3 linked regions of the Ovis aries genome follow. The main gene of each other region encodes a partner of the protein of the gene in region 2 in a complex. Links are inferred from orthologs where the notes say so. Each region holds a gene or a part of one and is shown on either strand. Other genes may lie near its edges. The genes, in order: PEF1, KLHL12 and PLEKHA4.

Region 1 (7,020 bases), on a different chromosome or scaffold from region 2:
CCCAGTGGGGAGCTCACCCCCTCTTAAATAACTCACTCAGAAAGTCCTACACTTTGCTTTGGCTCTGAGAGCTCATTCTTCTACCCTGAAGATGCTAGTAAAGCTCAGAGGTGTCAAAGGTTGGTCCATGCTGAGCCTGACAGGGAACAGTTGGCTGTGTTGCAAAGACAAACCTGTGCTCTGGAGCTACCCCCAGCCCGCTGCCGGAGGCTAGAGCCCATTCTAAGGAGTTAAACAGTCACAAGACTACAGAACGAGTGGTTTGGGCGTTCACCAGCAGAACGTCCTAAAATATTTAAAGGCTAGAAGCCTGCAGCCAATAAACAACGAGCCAAGAATTGTCCCAAGACTTCAATTACCACCTCTGTGCTGACACTCTAAAATCTTTCTCTCCAGCTTCATCTCTTGTGAGCTGCAGACCTTCATATCCAACAGCCTCCTGACGCTCCATCCAAATCTGCTCCTCCCGGTGTGCCCATGGCAGGGAAGGGACATGCTGGTGCACCCCCTGAGCCCTCCGCTTTCCTCTCTGTTGCCTCAATTAGGCGCCAAGTTTCCTCACTTCTGCTTCCCAGCTCCATGTTCACCAGGCCACTGTTCTCTCACCTAGATAACTTTTTTTTGGACAGGAAAGTAGGATTTATTGGTGGGCAAGAATAAGGAGGGGTCAGCGCCAAGGCTCTCAAGAATGCAGGGCACATGACCTGTCCAGAGGACCACGACTACGGATGTATCTGACCCCACAGCTATCTGGATGAGCCACTTTTCTGCCACTATGTTTTCAAGTTCATCCTCATTAAACTTCAGTAAATGCCCACTTCTTGGAGATGGGGACCTTCTGGTGGCCAGAGAACTTGAACTTGGCCCTGCGGAGGGCTTCAATCACAAGCTCCTTGTTCTACGGCTTGGTGTGGATGGACAGTATGACTTGGCCACTCTCCCCTGGCGCTTTCTAAAGGCACTGCACATAACCTGCTTGGAGTCTAGACTAGGGACAGCATGCCAGTCATGAATGTCCACTGGAAAAGGCTGCCTCCAAGGTCCCTTAGGGCAACAGGCTGTATATACCTCAGAGGAGGTTGCTGTTTGTGGCCACGGCACACGGGGCCCCCACAGTGGAAAGAGCACAGTCAGCTCAACTGGCTGCAAATCACCTAGATTGCTTCAACAGCTTTGAAACTGGTCTCCCTGCTTCAACCCATCCTGACAGTGACCCCCGGGAACAGCTTCAAAACACAAATGGGATAAAACTCTTTAGGAGATCTCTCACAAGTCCACCCTCCTCAAAACGGAACATAAGGCCCTTTAAGATCTAGTCCTTGCTTACCTTTCTGGTCTCATTTCTTACCATTTCCCCCTCCTCTTCACTACAACTAGACTGATCTCCTTAAATTCTTCGACAATACTGGGCTCTTGTTTCCTGGCCTTTGCGAACACTATTCTCTCCGCCGGAATACTTTCTTCATGCAGCCAACTCCTACCAGATATTCAGCTTTTGGCTTAAATGTCATCTCCTTTAAAAAGCCTTCCTTCCCTCAAGACTGAGTTAGGGATCTCTCCTGGGCAGGCCTGATTCTTACTCACATTTACTACTCATCACGCTGATTCTACAATTCATGTGTCTGTATCACTGTTCCACCTGGAGTATTTACTAGATGCCAAAACACCGTATCACTCACTTAACGTGGATTATCTCATTTAATTTTTACAGTAACTCTTGAGGTAGGTATGCCTATGATCCCATTTATAAAAAGGGGGATACCAAGCCTCAGACTCTGGTGGGAAATATCTGCAAGGAAATGGCAGTGGAGGGGTTTGAAGCCAAATTTCTCTGGTCTCAGAGACCAAGCTCTTATGTGCTGAAATCCATTAGGTTGGCTCCCTTGACACGACCAAAGGGTACTTGAGTTTTATCCAGTCCATGCTTGAGGACCCCCCAGGCAGGAGGCAGTGGAAAGTTACAGGAATTCTGATTCCTAACAGGAGGCTGGAATCCTCCAGGGCTACATACTGAGTGGAGGACAGGCAGTACTAATTTTTTGGATGCTTTCAAACAACCCACTTCCTTTCTTGCAACACAGTGGACCAGGAGTTGGATAGGAGGAACAAAGGTATGGTGAGGGAAGAGCATTTCTTTTTCTCCTTGAGGCACATTTCTCTCTGTGCTCCTTCTCACTGTCTCACTGAGCCTAAGGCCAGGCAGCACGGCATGACGACAGCGATCACAGAAGCAAGAGCGACGCCACCACCCGCCAGCACACACTAGCAATGCACCAGGTTGCCTACAGGCTTTACCACATTTCATCCTCTTTTCAGCCCTATGAAGTATTATTCCTCCCTCTTTACAAGTAAGGAAACTGAGACTCAGAGTCCTTAGATGATTTGTCCAAAGGGGTATAAATATTAAATAGCAGAATTAGGATTCTAGCCCAATTCGGTCTAACCTGGAAGTTCAGGCTCCTAATTTCTGTCACTGCTTCTAGGATGCATACCAATGATCTCCAAAAGCTTATTAAAATGCAGACGCTTGGGCCTTTTCTGGGTACAGAACAGGTCTGAGGTGGAAATCTAATCCGTGCTTTTTTAACAAGCTCCTAGGGGATTCTGAGGCAGACCACCCACCGAGAAACAATGCATCATGGCAATGTTTTCCCAAACTATATTCCTCAAGAATAATATTGGTGTCACCAAAAAAACGACCAGACTCAAAACAGGGGAGGAGGAGTTTTCCATGGTTAAGTAAGTTTAAGAAACACTGCATATTCCATCCCTCTCTAGCAAATATACAATGTTTATTAACAAATTAAGAATTCTGAGATGCTTTGTGATGAAAAACGTACTATATTTAACAAACTTATTTACCCATACTTCCTTATTAGCAATACTTATTAACACCTCACAAGCCTCAGCAAATGGAACCGAGCTTGGTTATACTTCCTCCTAACCTCAGCCCCAGCGGGCCTCTCTTTCCTACCTCTGCCAAGTATGCAACAAAAGTTCTAAGTTCTAGCATAGATGCTCCCTCACTTGCTATGTGCAACCATGGGCAAGCCACTTAACCTCTTTGGGCTCTTTCCAGAGTTATAAGTTGAATCAATTATTCCTGCAAGCCTTCTTATAGTGCCTTCACGACAGAGAATATGGATGTCCAAATACTGTGTACAGGGCTGCACTGCCGAAGAGGGCTCTTGCCACATCTTTTGGTATGTGATTACACACAGCGCTTAGTAATAGCCCATGTGACCCTGTTTGCCAATTTTTCCTGCGTGGGTTTTATCTCCTAAATTAGTGTGATCTTGGGCAACTCAGGAGCCCTCTCTGGGCTTCAGGTTCCTCCTTTTAAAATGAAGGAACCTGGCACTTCTCAGGTGGTCCACCAGTTAGGACTCCGCACTCCCAACGCAGCGGGCCCAGGTTCCATCCTTGGTTGGGGAACTTGATCCCACATGCTGGAACTAAGACCTGAGGCAGCCAAATAAACGACATTTTAAAGTAAATTAATAAAACGAAGGAACTCTTTTGAGGGCTCTTCCAGCACTGACCTTCTAGGAATCTAGGAAAAATCAAAATACTAAAAGGTAACATCCGTTACACTCTTATTTGTACCACAGGTTTTAAGAGCATCACTTCATTATTCTTCATAACAGCTCTATGAAATAGACCCTATTATATGGCCCTATTTTACCGAGAAGGAAACTTCAACTCAGAAAGGCAAAAGTACCCTGTTTAAGGGCTCTAAACTAAGTGATGGAGCCAAGATGTGAACCTTCCTCTGACACCAAACTGCACTTGATCACTCAACCATTCTGTCATCCAACAACGTATTCTGGCCACACAATCACCTTGCTGTGGCATTCTTGGCTGGATCAAGGTGCGCTGGGGAAGAGGCATTTGCTGACAGCTCCGGATTCTGCTGCCTAACGACTTCAAATAAATTCCATGTCTTCTTGGGTTTTACTTTTTCTATGAGTGAAACAAAGGTACTGGACTAAATCAGTGGCCAGACAAGCTCACTTGTGCAGTCTGCTAAAACCACAGATTCTCCTGATTATTCAGATGCAGTACGTCAGAGGTGTATTTTTATCGACTCCCCAAAAGATACCGACAGAACCAGTGCTCTAAACGTTCTGCTGGCGTTGCTGACCCCGCTTACGGGCCCCGGTGGAGTCCTGGGAGAGTTGTAGGGCCCAGGCCAAGCGCAGTCTGACTCTGGGGTCCAAGAGCCCCAAATCTTCCCATGCGCAACGTCAAAGGGGGCGCGACACGACCTCCCAGACGTGCATGCCTACGTGACGTGAGCCAGGCGCGACCGACCATCTCTTTTCCCTTCTCTCCTGCGCAACCTCGCGGAAGACAACCTCAGCGTGGGAAAAGGCGCGGAGGAGGCGGGGAGAAAGCGAACCAGGGGGGTCCGGGCAGGACTTAGCGAGGGCCCTACTCGAATTCGCCCGCCCCTCACACTCACCTGCCCGTAAGGATAGCTGGCCATGGCGACTCTGACGTCACACGTCCGCGAGGGGCGGAGCTTCCAGGCGTCAAACCTGCCTCCTTCTGGGCCTGGGGGCGGGCCCTATTCTAATTGGATGTATGAGACTGTCCATCCTGGACGCATGGGTTGACGGAACTGACGCTCTAGGGCGGGGGTTTGGTGCCTCCTAGAGAGGTGGGCTCCCGTCTATGGGGTCGCATAGAGTCGGACACGACTGAGGCGACTTAGCAGCAGCAGCAGCAGCAGAGAGAGGCCAGCGGAGCTAAGGGTCAGGAGACCGATCCCGGAAAACTTGATTGTTATCCTGGCGCAGCTCTTCCTCCCTTTCTTGCTCTAGAGTAGGTCCCGGGGCTGGTCGGCCTGGGTATTTAGAGAGAAACTTGGGTAGGGTGTTGCAGCGGTGGCCATGTTTTAACCTGGCAAAAAGGACGCATGAAAGTGGCGTAGTTGCTGTCCTCAGTCCAAGTTTCCACCAGGGGAAGGCCAAGGCGGTTACCCTGACAACGGGGCACAGAGGCATCCTGGGAAGGACAGAGGCTAGGGCTAGAAGTACTTCGTTCTAATGTCAGGACACCATATGTCAGTAACTTTGGAGTGGGATCTATGGTATTTGGACAGGAAAATTCCAAGCCGTCAGAATGGGAGGGAAATTGGATCGTCTGAGGTCTCTTCGGGCTTTACTTTCACCACCAAACACATCCACAGCTGAGCCTTGTTTCTACTTTGGCCCAGCCTTTTCATTCGTTCAGGCTCTCCTGATGGCTTAAAGGGTTAAGAATCTGCCTGCAATGCAGGAGACACGGGTTCGACCCCTGGGTAAGAAAATGTGTACCCATTCCAATATTCCCTTGGACAGAGGAGCCTGGTGGGCTACAGTCCTTAGGGTTGCAAAGACTCCAATAGGACTGAGCAACACTTTAATTTCTTCTGGAGTTATTTCTCCTCTCTTCCCCAGTAGGATACTGGACATCTATCTGCCTGGGGGCTTATCTTTCGGTATCCTATCTTTTTGCTTTTTCATACTGTTCATGGGGTTCTTGAGGCAGAAATACTGAAGTGATTGCCATTCCCTTCTCCAGTCGACCATGTTTTGTCAGAATGCTCCACTGTGACCCGTCTGCTTTGGATGGCCCTGCATGGTATGGCTCGTAGTTTCATTGAGTTACATAAGGCTGACTTGTTTCAAAAATGGAGAAATAGGTCCAATGACCTGCCCTAGTTCACTATGGCTTAGGGGCAGAGTGTAGCCTAGAACTGGGGTCAATGGATACCCCAGGTCTCATCAGGGAAGGGTTGAGGACTGATCCCCAATGTAAGTAAGATCCTGGTTATTAAGAGATGTCAACTACAAGTTGGCACTTGCCAAGAGCTTTTGCCAGCGACTGAAATGCACCAACAAGGGCCCTTGCTGTCTGCCTGTGCTGCAGCAGCTGCTGACCTTCAACACTCCCCAAAGGGAATTCAGAGTGGAGAGAGAGGCACTCTGTGCTCCAGGGAAACTGATGAAACAGGTCTTTAGACAGTTAGATATTTTCAGGAACTGATTTTATGATCCCAATCCTTGCATCTCCTCATATCTAGAAAGGCACTAAATCCCTCGATGGTGACATCAGTTCCTCTTGATTAGCAGAAAATCTTTTGTGAAGTAAGCTCATGAGTGCATTGAACTCCCCCTTTACCACAATCTTATGTATTGACCTCTCCCCACTGCCTCTTGGGAGCAGTCTTTCAGAGCTATCTGAGGTGCTCTCTCCTAGGCTGCAGTCCTCATTTTGCCCCCAAATAAAACTTGACTCGCGACTCTAAACATTTTTTTAGTTGACAAAGACCTCACAGTCATATATTTGCTTCTTTGTGGTTTAGACTCTCCACTTGTTTGCATGCTTATTTGATTAATTTGTTAGTTCTGTATGGCACAGCTTGTGTCTGATTTTGCTTGTCATTGTATCTCCAGAACCTGTATTTTTAAAAATAATTAATAGTGTTACGAGGTGGTGTCACTTTTGGCCATCTAGCCATTGTCACCTGCAACTTGGCATTTGCCATCTATCTCTACAAAGGATCAAACTATGAGCCACTGTTGCTGCTGACCTTCAACACCGCCTGAAAGGATTTAAATGTGGAGATTCGGAATGAGGCATTCTGTGCTCTGGGGAAAACTGGCAGAATAGGTCTTCAGTTAGGTATTTTCAGGAGACAGTGTTAAGAGCCCCATTCTTGCATTGCCTCGTACCTATAAAAGAACTAAAATCCTCCATGGTGACATCTGCCTCTCATCACTGGCAGACATGTTCTGCAAAAAATAGGGACTTGATTACATGTATTCCCCTTTCACCAAAATCACATATATACTGACCTGCCTCCTACCACTTCCGAGCAGTTTCTCAGAAATATCTGAAATGCTTTTTCCCAGACTATTGTCCTCATTTTGCCCCAAATAAAACAACTCACAGCGCTCATGTTTTGCCTTTTTTTTTCAGTCGACAGCCAGCACTTCCCAAAATCACAGTGCTGATCATGCTCCTAGCCCC
Region 2 (6,608 bases):
AATGCCCCAGCTAACTTCTCTACAGTAGAGCAGCTACACAGGGGATTTTCTCAAAAGAAATATCATGGGAATATTATCCAGAGAAGTCCCTAGGGAAAAGGGGAAGACACAAAAGCTATCAAAATGCCTCGTTTGGTAAGATAGTAGAGAAAAAGACTCCCTTTAAAAGTCTAGCCTTATGGTCGGTTACCTGGCAGTTTTGATGAATTAACAGGACACGTGGTCGTGGAGTTGGCTAATTTGGAAAAATAAAAGTCATGGAAAAGATTTTTAAATTTATTATTTGGTTCCTAAGCCACATCTCAAATTTTGGGAGCCAAGGTTAGGAGAAAATTCTTTGCCATCACAAAAAACTCCCGTTTTGAGTTTTACAGGGTGAGAAAGGCAGGGAGCTCCTCCAGCCTACCCTTAGAGCCTGTTGTGAACTCAGCTGGAATCGTAAAGATGGGCTGATGCGGTGTAGGGTGTGTTCAAGCTTCTCCCATGGACAGAGGAGCCTCACGGGCTACAGTCACAGGGTCACAAAGAATCCAACACAAGCGAGCACACACAGGGCGTGTTCAGGCGTGCCCTCCAGAATTTTAATGTTGTCTAGAAATTCACGTTTCAGAGATTCAGGCTCTCAGGGAGGAGCAGTTTGCTGCTGGGCAGCCTCGTGGAGGACCTCCTGTCTCGGGTGGCTCCTCCAGGCCACGCGGGACAAGGCGCCCGGGTGCTGTCTGCGCTGCTCCGCCCCCGAGGCAGTCAGCCAGCAGCCACGGGAAAGCGGCCCCTCCTCGCTTGTCCTCAGGGGCCAACGAGGTGCTTCTGGTGGTCGGGGGCTTCGGGAGCCAGCAGTCTCCCATCGACGCCGTGGAGAAGTTCGACCCCAAGACGCAGGAGTGGAGCTTTTTGCCAGTAAGTTGTGGTGGAACCAGGCCCGGGGAAAGAGCTTAAATGTCCGCAGTCCCTGACTCCGGGTGGTAACTAACCCAGCCCTCAGAGTGGAAAGGCCTGGTCACAGCAGCAGAGTTCCTGACAGTAGTCAGTTACAGTAGTTGGTTGTTGACTAACTCGGCTTCAGGAGGACTCACGGCCCTGTGTGCAGTTACACTCAGCTGGCCACCACCATTCCCACGCCTTCCGGCCTCCCGATCGGTTCACAGGGTGCCCGCTCCTGCCCTGTTAGCCTGAGCACGGTGCTCAGCTGTGCTGGACTGAGCTGGTGTCCGTGGGACCCAGGGTCTGTGTCTCCTTGGGGGTTTCTGCTTCAGTGCAGTAACTGTGAGAACCATGGGGATCTTTGGGTCATTTCTCATGGCCTTTCAGGTCATTGGGTCCTGGCCCTTAGAGAGCAGTGCACTAGTCTCTTCCTGCTTCACGGAAGGATGTTGGTCTTTAGCGCAGTGCTTATGGAATGGGAAGGAATCAGATACTGGATAAGGGAAGGATGGTAGATCCTCTGGAATCCTTAGAGACAGACGCACAGAAGACACTCATCAGTAAGAGCATCACTGAGCAAGAGGCGTTTGTCCAGTGGACAGGCAGCAGATAAACCTCTGCTCAGAGGGCTTCACGGCCACAGGCAAAGCAACAAGGTGCGGAGGGAAACCCAGGAAGGACCACAAAGGTGAGGCCTGAGACTTGTCTGGCTAAAGTGGCAAAGGCGCCTCTTCTCCCCTGAATCCCAGAGCATTACTCGGAAGAGACGCTATGTGGCCTCGGTGTCCCTTCACGACCGGATCTACGTGATTGGTGGCTATGACGGCCGCTCCCGCCTCAGCTCCGTGGAGTGTCTGGACTACACGGCAGACGAGGACGGGGTCTGGTATTCTGTGGCTCCGATGAACGTCCGGCGGGGCCTGGCTGGAGCCACCACCCTGGGAGGTAGGCTGCTGCACAGGGCGGCGCGTGCATCTCGGTGTGGCTGGATCGGGGTTCACACCTCCATGAAATGTGGAGGCAGCCGGTGGGGTCAGTCACACCTTTCTGGTTTCGGAAACACTCCAAGGCATCTCAGTGCTGACACTGGAGTTGGTAACTCAGGCTCCAGTGTGCTGAGGGGGCAGCTGGCGCTAGTGGTAGTTTTGCAGACTCGCATCTAGGAATGTTTCTGAAGATTCCATCTTACCCTGTTCTTCTCACTTGTCTTGACTGTGCTGTCCTCTTTAAGAAAGACTTGATTTATCCCTTAAAAAAAACCAAACAGTTGTTTCTGGCTCCAGGCATTTGGAAGAGTTGTGGGAGATTTGTAGACAAGGAGTCGTTACAAACCTCTCACTCTCTAACGGTCTGTGGCTCCTTCATTCTGAGCAGATATGATCTATGTCTCTGGGGGCTTCGATGGAAGCAGGCGCCACACCAGTATGGAGCGCTATGACCCGAACATCGACCAGTGGAGCATGCTGGGCGACATGCAGACGGCCCGGGAAGGTGCCGGCCTCGTGGTGGCCAGCGGGGTGATCTACTGTCTAGGTGTGTGGGGTCTGGGACGGGGTGGGGGCGGGATGACTAAGGGCAGCGGCCTCGGCGCAGGATCCCTTTCACTGGAATTGGTTCATAGACTTCCTCCCCCTAAAACCCTGGTCTGTCCCAGTATAGTTTCCACTCACTGGGATTCTCCTTTTCGTGAGAGCAGAAGACAGGTTGCTCTCAGGTTTCTCTCTGGAGCCCTTGAAGAGAGCTGGGACGAAGAGCCTCAGTCAGGGCACTTGAGGAAGGCAGGCCAGGAGCGGGAATCCGCACCGACCATTCTTTCTGGAATGGTTCCCGCTCTGTCTTTCAGGAGGATATGACGGCTTGAATATCTTAAACTCAGTTGAGAAGTATGACCCCCATACAGGACACTGGACTAATGTCACACCGATGGCCACCAAGCGCTCTGGTAAGACCGGGCAGGCCCCAGGGGCCGGAGGCGGAGCTGTCAGAGCTGCCTGGGCAGTGGGGCTGCAGGCCTGTCATCACTGGCAACCTGGGAAACATGGGTCAGGGCCGTTGTCCTCAGTGTCTGTGCTCCCTAAATACAGCGGCATTGGAGACAGCCCAGACTCTCCCTGGGTTAGGGTGAGAGCAGAGCCTCCTTGCCTTGTCTTTTTGTACCTGAGTCCCTCCCTCCATCCTGGCCTCCAGCTCAGCTCTGTGCAGTGGCGTGGGCTGCCTGAGGGAGCATGTGCAGGAGTCGGGCAGGGAGGGGTCTTTCTGAGCCCTCAGGCTGGTGTGGAGGAACAGAGAGCCCTGCCTCCCGGTAGCAGATGCTCCAGACCCATCACGACCCCTCTCTCTTTCCCTCTTTTTTCCACTCCCTTCTCTCATGACAAGGGTTGGGCTCCGAGTTAATGAAAGTGAGATGACGGCCAGGCGAAGAGGGCTGCAGGTGCGTGGCCTGTGCTGGACTAGATCCTCCAGGCTGTCTGGCCCTGGCCCATCCCTCGGCCACTCTGGGGCTCACCCAGCCGTCTGTCAGTGTTTTGTTTCTAGGGTTCAGATCCTCAGCCCAGCAGCCGTCATCTGTTGTGCCCTTTCCTCCCCAGGTGCAGGGGTAGCGCTGCTGAATGACCATATTTATGTGGTGGGGGGATTCGATGGTACAGCCCACCTTTCTTCTGTGGAAGCCTACAACATTCGCACCGACTCCTGGACAACGGTCACGAGCATGACCACCCCGCGGTGCTACGTCGGGGCCACGGTGCTTCGGGGGAGACTTTATGCAATTGCAGGGTGAGGGGTAAATCTGGGATCCAGGGCCGTGTGAGCTGATCCACGTGTGTGGTGGAGACAGGGTTTGGTTCCGCAGAGAGGGCTCCATGGCAATCTTAATGTGGGGCCCTGTGGGGAGGGGGGGCCTTGTGGGGAGAGGTGGGGCGGAGCCTATTGAGACAGGCTGTGGGCGGGGCCTTGTGGGGAGGGGGCGGGGCGGAGCCTATTGAGACAGGCCCTGGGCGAGGCCGGGGCGGGGCAGGGCTGGGGGCGGGGCCGGTGGGCGGGGCCGGTGGAGGTGCGCCTTTCTCTATCCCTGCTGGCCCTTCTCCCTCAGCTACGACGGGAACTCCCTGCTGAGCAGCATTGAGTGCTACGACCCCATCATTGACAGCTGGGAGGTCGTGACCTCCATGGGAACTCAGCGCTGCGACGCCGGCGTGTGTGTTCTCCGAGAGAAATGACTGGGCGAAGAGACAGTTTGCAGAGAACCAAGGGTCCTTTCCAGAATGTCTGTTCTCAGTGCGGGGAGGGGATGACAGGCTCAGTGCCGCGGCTCTCACTGAGCTTATTTGACACGCCCTGGCGTTGGGGGTGTCCCCGAGGGCGGAGGCCGCAGGCACTCGAGGGCGGAGGCCGCACCCTGCATGGGTGTGATCGGCCAGACCCTTCTCCTGGCCGCGGGGGCACTTGGTCCTCGCCTTTAACCTCGTGTGCGCTCCAGAGAATATACCTTGTGCCTCGTGTGCTGTGGACAATTAAGGTGAACATGAACTCCAGGGTGTGGGCAGGGCTGGAAGGGTACCAACTCTCTTGGTTTTCCAAGAATAAATCTCTTTCCTAGTCTACAGGTAACAGGGGCAACAGAGTTCTGTTTTGGAGGAAAACGAGGGAAGAGCCCTGTCAAAACCTCGGGGGCCTCGGGAGTGGGGAACTGGGTGTCCAGTGCAGGACGGGACCTGGATGCGGTGGGGTGTGAGAGAGCCTGCAACACGTGGAAGGCTGAGGGGGCGTGTTACCTGAGGGTCTTTGCTGGGCCCTAGACACAGAGCAGCAGTGCAGGAAACGTGTCCCAGACCGAAGTTCCTGTGACTTCACCATTGCCCACCCCCGCCCCCGCCCCGGCTGCCGCACCTGTATCCCAGGAAGGCTTTCCTCTGTTGAATCAAGGACTGCTTTCTCCACTGTTGCCGTCGGTACTGTTTATAGGGGGAGGGGAGGAGCGGGGGTGGCAGTCGCCTGGTGACTCCCCTGGTTCTTGTAAGAGCATACTTCTGCCAAGGAGTCGTTTTTACTGCTGTGTTTTGTACATGTTGTCCTTTCTTATTAGAACACCCCTTCCCTGTCTTTAGACTGGATCTCACTCATCCCAGGACGGAATAACGATGAGAACCGAAACCCGTTTGTTAGTTCGGCGCCTCCCGGCCTTCTGAACTCCCAAGGCGCCCCTGTGCTGCGCAGAGGCACTCCTGCTCGGAGAATCGGGAGTGTGGGGACCGCGCGGTCGCCTAAACAAGAAGGCACTTGCCCTTTGTTCTGGAATTCCTTTTTTTCCTCTTTCCCTGAGTTAATATTGACCTAAAGTTCGTTTTGTTTGTATTTTTTTAAGAAAATATTAAAAAACAAACAAAAAAAAAAAACAGTGGTCTCAAATGCCTGTAAGAGTTTGTGGCAAACCAGCACCATCTTCCAGACGTTTCGGGGGACAAGGCATAGACAGCTGCTGTAGGTCCTGTCTCTTCAACCCGTTCTCTTGTGTGTTTGCCACTAACTGCTCTGTTTCTGTTAGACAGCTGAGAGGTCTCCGGAGACTCATTAGCATGAGGCTATCCGAATGGCATATTCACGGCCTCCCCTCACACTCGGCCCTGACTCGGAAACCACAGGGAACAAAGCGGAGGCAATCTTGGGCTGGTTTTGTACCCGCTTGAATGTCAGGGCTTTAGTCGCCCCAGTCCTTTTACCGTTTCCCTCGGTTTTGTGCCACGTGACACAAATAGCTGCAGAACGCTTGCAAAACTGCAAAAATCCTGATATTTCCAGAGCAGAGGGAAGGGGGAGCCAAAGAGGTTCAGGAAAGAGGCCTGCCAGCCTTTCCCTAGCAGATGGATTGTGCCTGCTGATTAAACCAAGTGGTGACACTTGTGACTCATTCTCTCAGGGAGGAAGAGGGGAGGCAGAAGAGTGGGGATGAAGAGAGGATGGCCCCAGGCTGGCTTCACCGCTGACTTACTTCCCATTTCCCAAATAGTTCCGAGAAGAGTGTTGCCTCGGTAAAGCTTTTTCTGGCTCCCCGGATGGAATCACTCCTAATCGGTGCTTCCAGTGCACTTTGTTCTGCGGATTGTCTTTACCGTAAGTCCTTGAGTTTGCGTCTGTCTGCCTGTTTAGACTGTGTTTTCCAGTACAGAGTGCCGATCATCGTATGCTCACATCCTACAATTGTAGAATATTGTAGTATATTCTATTAATTGCTCAGCAAAGGTTGACTTAATGAAGGACAAAGAGGAGAAGAAAAACATGCCGACCGGGTGGTTGGGTAGACGAGACATTCCTCACAAGACTTGGCTCCCCTTCCTATTCCGCTTCCCTTGCCACCTCGGGAAGACCGCGCCTGCCACACTACAGCCAATAAGCTAGACGTCTTAAGACTAACCGGGGAGAATGAGAAACTGGAACGACCCAGAGCAGTGGCTGCAGGCCATGCCTGGATCCCAAGCCCCGGGGGCAGCCCTTCCGACCGTACCCCCATAGGGAAGCGCTTGAACACCGAGTCTTGCCCCGCAGTGAGTGGTCAGTGCGACCCGAGCAGAGAGCAGCGTCTGCAGCTTCCAGGCCCCCGTCTCCGCCCCAGAGAGCAGGTGTCGCGCGGACGCTACTGCGGCTGAGATTTGCTCTGAGATCGGGACGTCCCCGCCGCTCCCGAGATGAAG
Region 3 (6,028 bases), on a different chromosome or scaffold from region 2:
GTTATAAAGGGTAGTCATTAAGTGGATGGCAATTTCTCTTCAAAGCCTCCACACCAAGCCCTAGAAACCATGTGTGGAGAATACATCTTCCCAGTATTGGAAAAAGAGAAGGGCCATCAGCCTTGCTTCCTAGATAAGAAACAGGCTACAAGATGGAAGTTATTCATCCAAGACAGTTCCCATAATTATGAGGCTGAGCAGTTACACTGTTCAGCACAACGACCCTATAACGATGATGAGAATGGTCATTTTCATTTTAGAAATGTAGAAATGGATGCAGATAGGACTAAGGGCACAGGCTGGGGAGCACACAGCAGGGGTAGAGCCAGGCTTGGGGTGAGAAGTCAGGAGGTGGGTTGACACCAGTGGGGAACGGCCCTCAGGCCTCATGACTCACGGTAGCCAGCATTATTGACTATGCAATCCAGGTGGCCGAATCGGCGGATGGTCTCAGAAACGAGGGTCTGGGGAGAGAGAGGTCTTCTGAGTGAGTGGTGCTGGCATCAGGTCTTATAGAGCCAGGGGTCCCAAAGGTGAGGTGGGGACAGGAGTCACAGCTGAGGGGCTGGAGCCCAGCGGGCTGGTGACATTCACACTGTGGTCACTACCCTAGAGACCCGGGACTGGAGACAGATGTCAGAGATACTGACTAGACGGAAGGAATGGAAAGTGAGGAAAGAGAAAAGAATCCTGCAAGAATGAGACCCCCTGTGAGGAATGTATTTGTCCCAATCCCCGTGACAGCTGTGACAGAGCCTTGAAAGAGCGGGAGGTAAAAGCAAATCCTCCCAGGAGACACAAGACCTGGTCAGTACAGTTAGGGAGAGCCTTGAAGAGATACTGAGCTGAACCGGGAAAGGCAGAGGGAACACCAGTGCAAAAGCCTTCGAGGCGGCCAGGGGAGGGGGTCGGTGGGGAGAGAGAACCAACTGGACATGGCGGGTAGTAGAGACAGAAAATACACTCACCCTCACATCTTCCTCCCGAGTCACGTCACAGCGCAGAAAGACAGTGCCAGGCAGCTCTCGCTCCACCGCCCTGCCCCTGGCCTCTGCGGGAAGAGAAGGGCTGGGGGTCTGGACTTCAGAGTCTGAGGGAGGAGGGGGCTGGGAGGCCGAATCCTGGGTCTGAGGGAGGAGGAAGCCAGGGGTTTGGACTCCTGGGTCTATCAGAGGAGGGGTCTGGGGGCCTGGAATCCCCCTGGAGGGTTGGGGATGAGGACTGAGGGACCCTCACTCACCATCTTTGTCACAGATAACCACCTGGGCACCGCTTTCCACTGAGAATAAGAAAGAAGAGGTTACCCCCAGCCGACCTTGGCGAAGGCCTCTGCTGCCCTCTAGGGGCCACTTACAGCGGGTTGGGCCCGTCTCCCACTCTGCTCCCCTCGTGACCCCAAAGTCTCATGATGACTCCCTAGGACAGAGGGCAGAAGTTTTGACAGATACTCTTCTGGGTTATTCTAGGTGCCTGTTGGGGCTCCTGAGTCTGCCTTCCTGGGTTCCAGAGTAAACCCGAAATCTGCAAGAGACATCGTCCCCCAAACTGCCTGTTTTGCAGAGACAGCTGAGACCACAGAAACGGTGTTTGGAAACCTGCCAAAATCTCAGGCCCTAGGCAACTACCGCCTACCTTTTCGTTCACTTTGCAAATAGGATCTTGTAAGATAAGAATCTAGACTCCAGTATAGGACCTACTTTTTCTCACACCCATTAGTTAGCCCTCGGAGGCCCGTCCTCTCCCAGATTCCCAACATTTAGACCCAGCCAGACCCCACTCACCGAAAGCTCGAACGATCGCGGCTCCTATGCCGCGACCGCCGCCGGTCACGATGACCACCTTCCCAGCATAGCGCGTTCCCATTGCCATTCTGCCGGACACCGCCTCTCCTCTTTCACTCACTCCGGGCTTCTGTCCACCTCCAAAATCGGGTGAGGTAGTGGGGTCAAATCGTAAACAGGGGCCGGATCCTGGAAGCCCGGCCCTGAGGGTGGGGGTGGGGGGCGTTGCCAGGAAAGCCAGAAGCCTGGAAGCCTGGTCCCTCCCTCAGATCCAAGAGTCTGGATGCCCAGACCTTCTTCCCTCAAGTTCAGGATTCCTGGCATCCGGCCGCCCTCTGCCCTCGGACCTAAATGTCCAGGTCCCTCGTCTTCCTTCAGACGCAAGAATCCAGGTCCCCATCCCCCTCTTCCCTCAGGCCCAGTACTCCGGACCCTGAGATTTCCTCCTCCCTCAGACCTACAAGTCCAAGGTCCCGGTCCCCTCCTCCTTTGCGACCCAGAAATCCACGACCCCAGCTCTACCCCCACTCAGAGACACCAGAGTCACAACCTCAAACAGACAAAAAGTTATTGACTAAAAAGTTCAAAGTTTTAATCTAAATTTGGACAAGTGTCGGGAAAAGCAAACTTTGGCCACAGAAACCACTTCTAGGTCACGGGAGAACAGAGGCTGCAGATCTTCAGGTGGTCCCGCCAGGCCACGCCCTCACGCTCTGATTGGCTGCCACGTCTGGGCGCGTCAGAAGCTGGACTGCAGCAGGGTGACCCTCAGAGGCCACGCCCCCTCGTCAGGGGTCAGGGCGGGAGGGGCCGGCCCGGAATCCCAGGTCTCTTCCCAGGAGGCGGGGCCTGCGCCGCGCCCACTACCTCTGGGGGAGAAACCCGTGGAGCAGGAATTGGCTGTTGGAGATCTTCGGGGTGAGGACGCCTGGGGCATGGGATCTGACGGAGGTGGCGGCGCAGGGGGGAGAGGGTCCCCTCGAGAGTCCAAATTTCCACCTGGAGAGGACGGATGGGAAATGAGAATGGCAAACTCAGGAATCCAGAAGTCCAGACACCGCCCTCCGCCCCCAGGCCTTTCCTCTCAAACCTAGGAGTCCGGCCTCCCTGCCCCCTGCTCTCCCAAACTCAGCACTTTTGCACCTTAGCCCCCTCCTGCCTGGAATCTAGCACTCCCAAGCCCTGTCCAGGTCTTCCCTCATCAAGACAAAGGATTCCCAGGGGCCCTCAGACCCCTCCCCATCACGACCTGAGATTCCAGACCTCCGACCCGCCCCCCCCCTCCTCATCCCTAAAACCTAGGAGTCCTAAGTCCCCAGCTCATTCTCACCTGTCATCATTCCGCGCCACTGCGATGCCTCAGCGGCCAGGGCTTGAGAGAGGCTGAGGACTCGCTCCCGGTGCCCTTCGGATGTCAGCAAATAAGGGGTGGTGTTTCTTGGACTAGAAAAAGAGAGTTTGGGCGAAACTTCGATTAGCCAGTACAGTAGAGGCCACAGTGCCGCGCGTGTCCTTCTGGGAGTTGTAGTCCCTAGCACGTGTCTCTAAAGGATTTTAAACGTGGAGCGACCCTCTTTTTTTAGAAGCCCGCGTGCATTGTGGGATTTGTAGTTCAGTTGCCCGAAAATTTCTCCGATTTCCTGACAGCGGGGCGGAGTTTGATATAGAACAAGGAACTGCAGTTCTCCCCGCGAACTAGAGTTTTCTGATTCCCCAAGAACTCAAGCGACTCTAAAAGATTCTGCGATCTGTACTTTAGTACTCAAAAGACATTAACAGTAACACTATTCCCCTTCTCTTTTTTATTTCCCTTCGTTGTTGCCTCGATCTCCAATTCCTTACCTGCTCCAGGACCCCGAACTTCGGAGCCATTTCTGGGTTCCTGAGTGTCCCAGGACAGGCTGCAAAGGAATGGGGGCATTAGAATTCCTCACCCTGGAAGTTCCCATGTTCTCATTTTGAGGGTGAAGAGGCTCAGAGGATAAAATTGCCCCAAAGACACTAATTCTTAACTTTACCTGAACTCCTGGGAAAGAGGGAAGAGTTTGGAAAATTACCACCCTCCCAACCACTTCCCCACGCCTTTTTGCATTCTGGTAAACAGCTTCTTCATATGACTTAGATAAGCCTGAATGATGTGAAATTGATATTTTAAGACAGGACAGGAAAATTAAAGATCAAAGTCTCTCTGCGCGCTTGTTTGGGGCTCCTCCATCCCTAATGTGCAGTGTACACCAGGATTACACATTAGCCAGAGCTCCTCAGAGTTGGCAGTGCTTGCTCTGTTCTGAAGATCATTTCTTTTTTCCCTTTCTTCTGACACTACCAGTGTAACTTCTTAAAAGAACAGCTTCTTTCACAGTTCTGCAGGGGGTCACAGTAACTTGCTGCTGGCTTCGCATGTGCTTCCCTAGACTATGTATCCTTGGTGAAGCTTAGGTAAAATATCACTATGTTATTTGCTTCTTTGTTTGTTTTAAATTGTCTGGCTGCATCAAGTCTTAGTTGTGGCACTTGGGATCTTAGTTGCATCACGTGGGATCTTTTGTCACAGTGCATGGGGCTTCCCTGACAGCTTAGTGGTAAGAATCTGCCTGCCAACGCAGGAGACTTACTTGCTCAACAGAGATGTGGGTTCCATCCCTGGGTCAGGAAGATTGCCTGGAAGGCTATAGTCCATGGGGTTGCAAAAGAGTCGTACATGACTCAGCAACTAAACAACAGCAGATTGTGTAGTTGTGGCGCACAGGCTTAGTTGCCCAGAGACATGTGGGATCTTAGTTCCCAGACCAGGTATCAAACCCTCGTCCCCTGCATTGCAAGGCAAATTCTTAACCACTGGTCTGCCAGGAAAGTCCTGTCAGTATGTCATTTTGATGTTCGATCTTTTGTCTGGAAAACAGACACGAGTGTGCCTCTTGACTTCTAACAGATGGTGAAACAGTTCTCAGAACTTTCTGAGAGTCTCTCTCCCAAGTTCTAATTCTGTTTGGCTCAAATAAAAGTCCCCTTTTTTCTTGTTAACTTGATTTTAATAGAATTTTCATCGACAAGATTCACAGATGAGCCCCCTGTGACGAGGCCAGAAACAGACCCTCCAAATTCACATTCCTTTTGTCATAAATGATTAATGAACTTGTTGCCCCCGAAAAACTAGCTAGACATAGAGATCAATGTTTGATATTCAGCAGACTTGAGATGCCCCCCATTTACAAAAACAATCACAACCCCAAAATCACCCCACTTGTCTAATTCCTTCCTAGAAGAGTCTTAAGATGAAACTATCCATGGGGAATTCCCTGGTGGTCCAGCAGGTAGGGCTCCGCACTCCCACGGCCAAGTCCTCAAACATGGACTGAACCCAAGCCCTAAAATCCCACAAGCTGCGCAGTGGCACAGCCCAAAACGAAAAAACAAGTGAAAAAACCATCCTGCCCAGACAGTCTGATCTTCAGATTGGCAGTGTGATCTCCATGGCAGTAAATACATTTTTTTTTTCTTTGCCTTTGATAGCATAGTAACTGAACAGGAAAACTTGGCTTCCAATCCAGCTCTAAAACCCACTCCTCCCAGAGGAGTGAGAATGCTGGTGAGGATGGAGATGTTGCCTCTGGCCCATCCTGTTCTCCACTGATAAGGGAGACAGGATGCTGAATTGAAAACAGGGACAAGTAAACCTGATATAGAGGAAGGGAAAAAAATCCCCATTTTACAGAGAGGAAAACTGAGGCTCCAACCAGGAACTGAGAACCCACTGCCGCCTCACTGACCCACCCCTGTTTCCCTCACTTTTTGTTCCGCATCAGGCTGGCGTCTGGTTGGGGACAGCGTCCTCCCCAGGGTGAGGAGCCGGGGGGAGGCTGGGCGAGGGAGAGGCCGTCCATATTCTTGATTTCTTCGGATTCTCTCCAACTGCTCCCGAGCACTCATCCGGGGCCGGGCCAGGGGGACCTGGGGAGATGAGAAACATCTAGAGATTCCAACCAGGCCTCTCTTTTCTCTCTTCCCTGAACCTCTCAGCCTCCTCTGTCATGGGCTTCCCTCAAAGCTCAGTTGCAATGCAGGAGACCCTGGTTCGATTCCTGGGTCGGGAAGATCCCCTGGAGAAGGGATAGGCAAGCCACGCCAGTATTCTTGGGCTTCCCTTGTGGCTCAGCTGGTAAAGAATCCACCTGCAATGCGGGGAGACCTGGGTTCGATCCCTGGGTTGGGAAGATCTCCTGGAGAAGGGAAAGGCTACCCACTCC

What was found.
Region 1: the proteins of KLHL12 (region 2) and PEF1 are in contact, whole or in part, in a crystal structure (PDB 8RBH), measured with the Homo sapiens proteins. The link is inferred for Ovis aries from reciprocal best matches to the Homo sapiens genes KLHL12 and PEF1. Residues at the interface, in NP_067646.1 of Homo sapiens: Phe289, Gln293, Arg320, Tyr321, Leu371, Glu417, Tyr434, Ile439, Phe481, His486, Cys511, Tyr512, Tyr528, Leu533, Cys558; in NP_036524.1 of Homo sapiens: Gly15, Gln16, Ala17, Pro18, Gly19, Ala20, Pro21, Pro22.
Region 3: the proteins of KLHL12 (region 2) and PLEKHA4 are in contact, whole or in part, in a crystal structure (PDB 8OIO), measured with the Homo sapiens proteins. The link is inferred for Ovis aries from reciprocal best matches to the Homo sapiens genes KLHL12 and PLEKHA4. Residues at the interface, in NP_067646.1 of Homo sapiens: Phe289, Arg320, Glu417, Tyr434, Ile439, Phe481, His486, Cys511, Tyr512, Tyr528, Leu533, Cys558; in NP_065955.2 of Homo sapiens: Pro177, Gly178, Gly179, Pro180.

What each region holds. Positions count from the first base shown.
Region 1 is NC_056055.1:235,823,750-235,830,769, reverse strand, and holds the start of PEF1 (peflin), read right to left. Parts: upstream 4,502-7,020; 5' UTR 4,490-4,501; coding exon 4,466-4,489; intron 1,150-4,465; exon of another isoform or gene 1,028-1,149; intron 1-1,027. UniProt on the Homo sapiens protein: Calcium-binding protein that acts as an adapter that bridges unrelated proteins or stabilizes weak protein-protein complexes in response to calcium.
Region 2 is NC_056065.1:79,310,597-79,317,204, forward strand, and holds the end of KLHL12 (kelch-like protein 12), read left to right. Parts: intron 1-790; coding exon 791-897; intron 898-1,670; coding exon 1,671-1,866; intron 1,867-2,295; coding exon 2,296-2,454; intron 2,455-2,764; coding exon 2,765-2,863; intron 2,864-3,509; coding exon 3,510-3,696; intron 3,697-4,012; coding exon 4,013-4,139; 3' UTR 4,140-4,530; downstream 4,531-6,608. UniProt on the Homo sapiens protein: Substrate-specific adapter of a BCR (BTB-CUL3-RBX1) E3 ubiquitin ligase complex that acts as a negative regulator of Wnt signaling pathway and ER-Golgi transport.
Region 3 is NC_056067.1:55,187,052-55,193,079, forward strand, and holds the end of PLEKHA4 (pleckstrin homology domain-containing family A member 4), read right to left. Parts: intron 5,733-6,028; coding exon 5,571-5,732; intron 3,683-5,570; coding exon 3,624-3,682; intron 3,225-3,623; coding exon 3,112-3,224; intron 2,781-3,111; coding exon 2,521-2,780; 3' UTR 2,349-2,520; downstream 1-2,348. Other genes in the region: HSD17B14 (17-beta-hydroxysteroid dehydrogenase 14), read right to left, coding at 398-464, 969-1,051, 1,241-1,279, 1,782-1,869. UniProt on the Homo sapiens protein: Binds specifically to phosphatidylinositol 3-phosphate (PtdIns3P), but not to other phosphoinositides.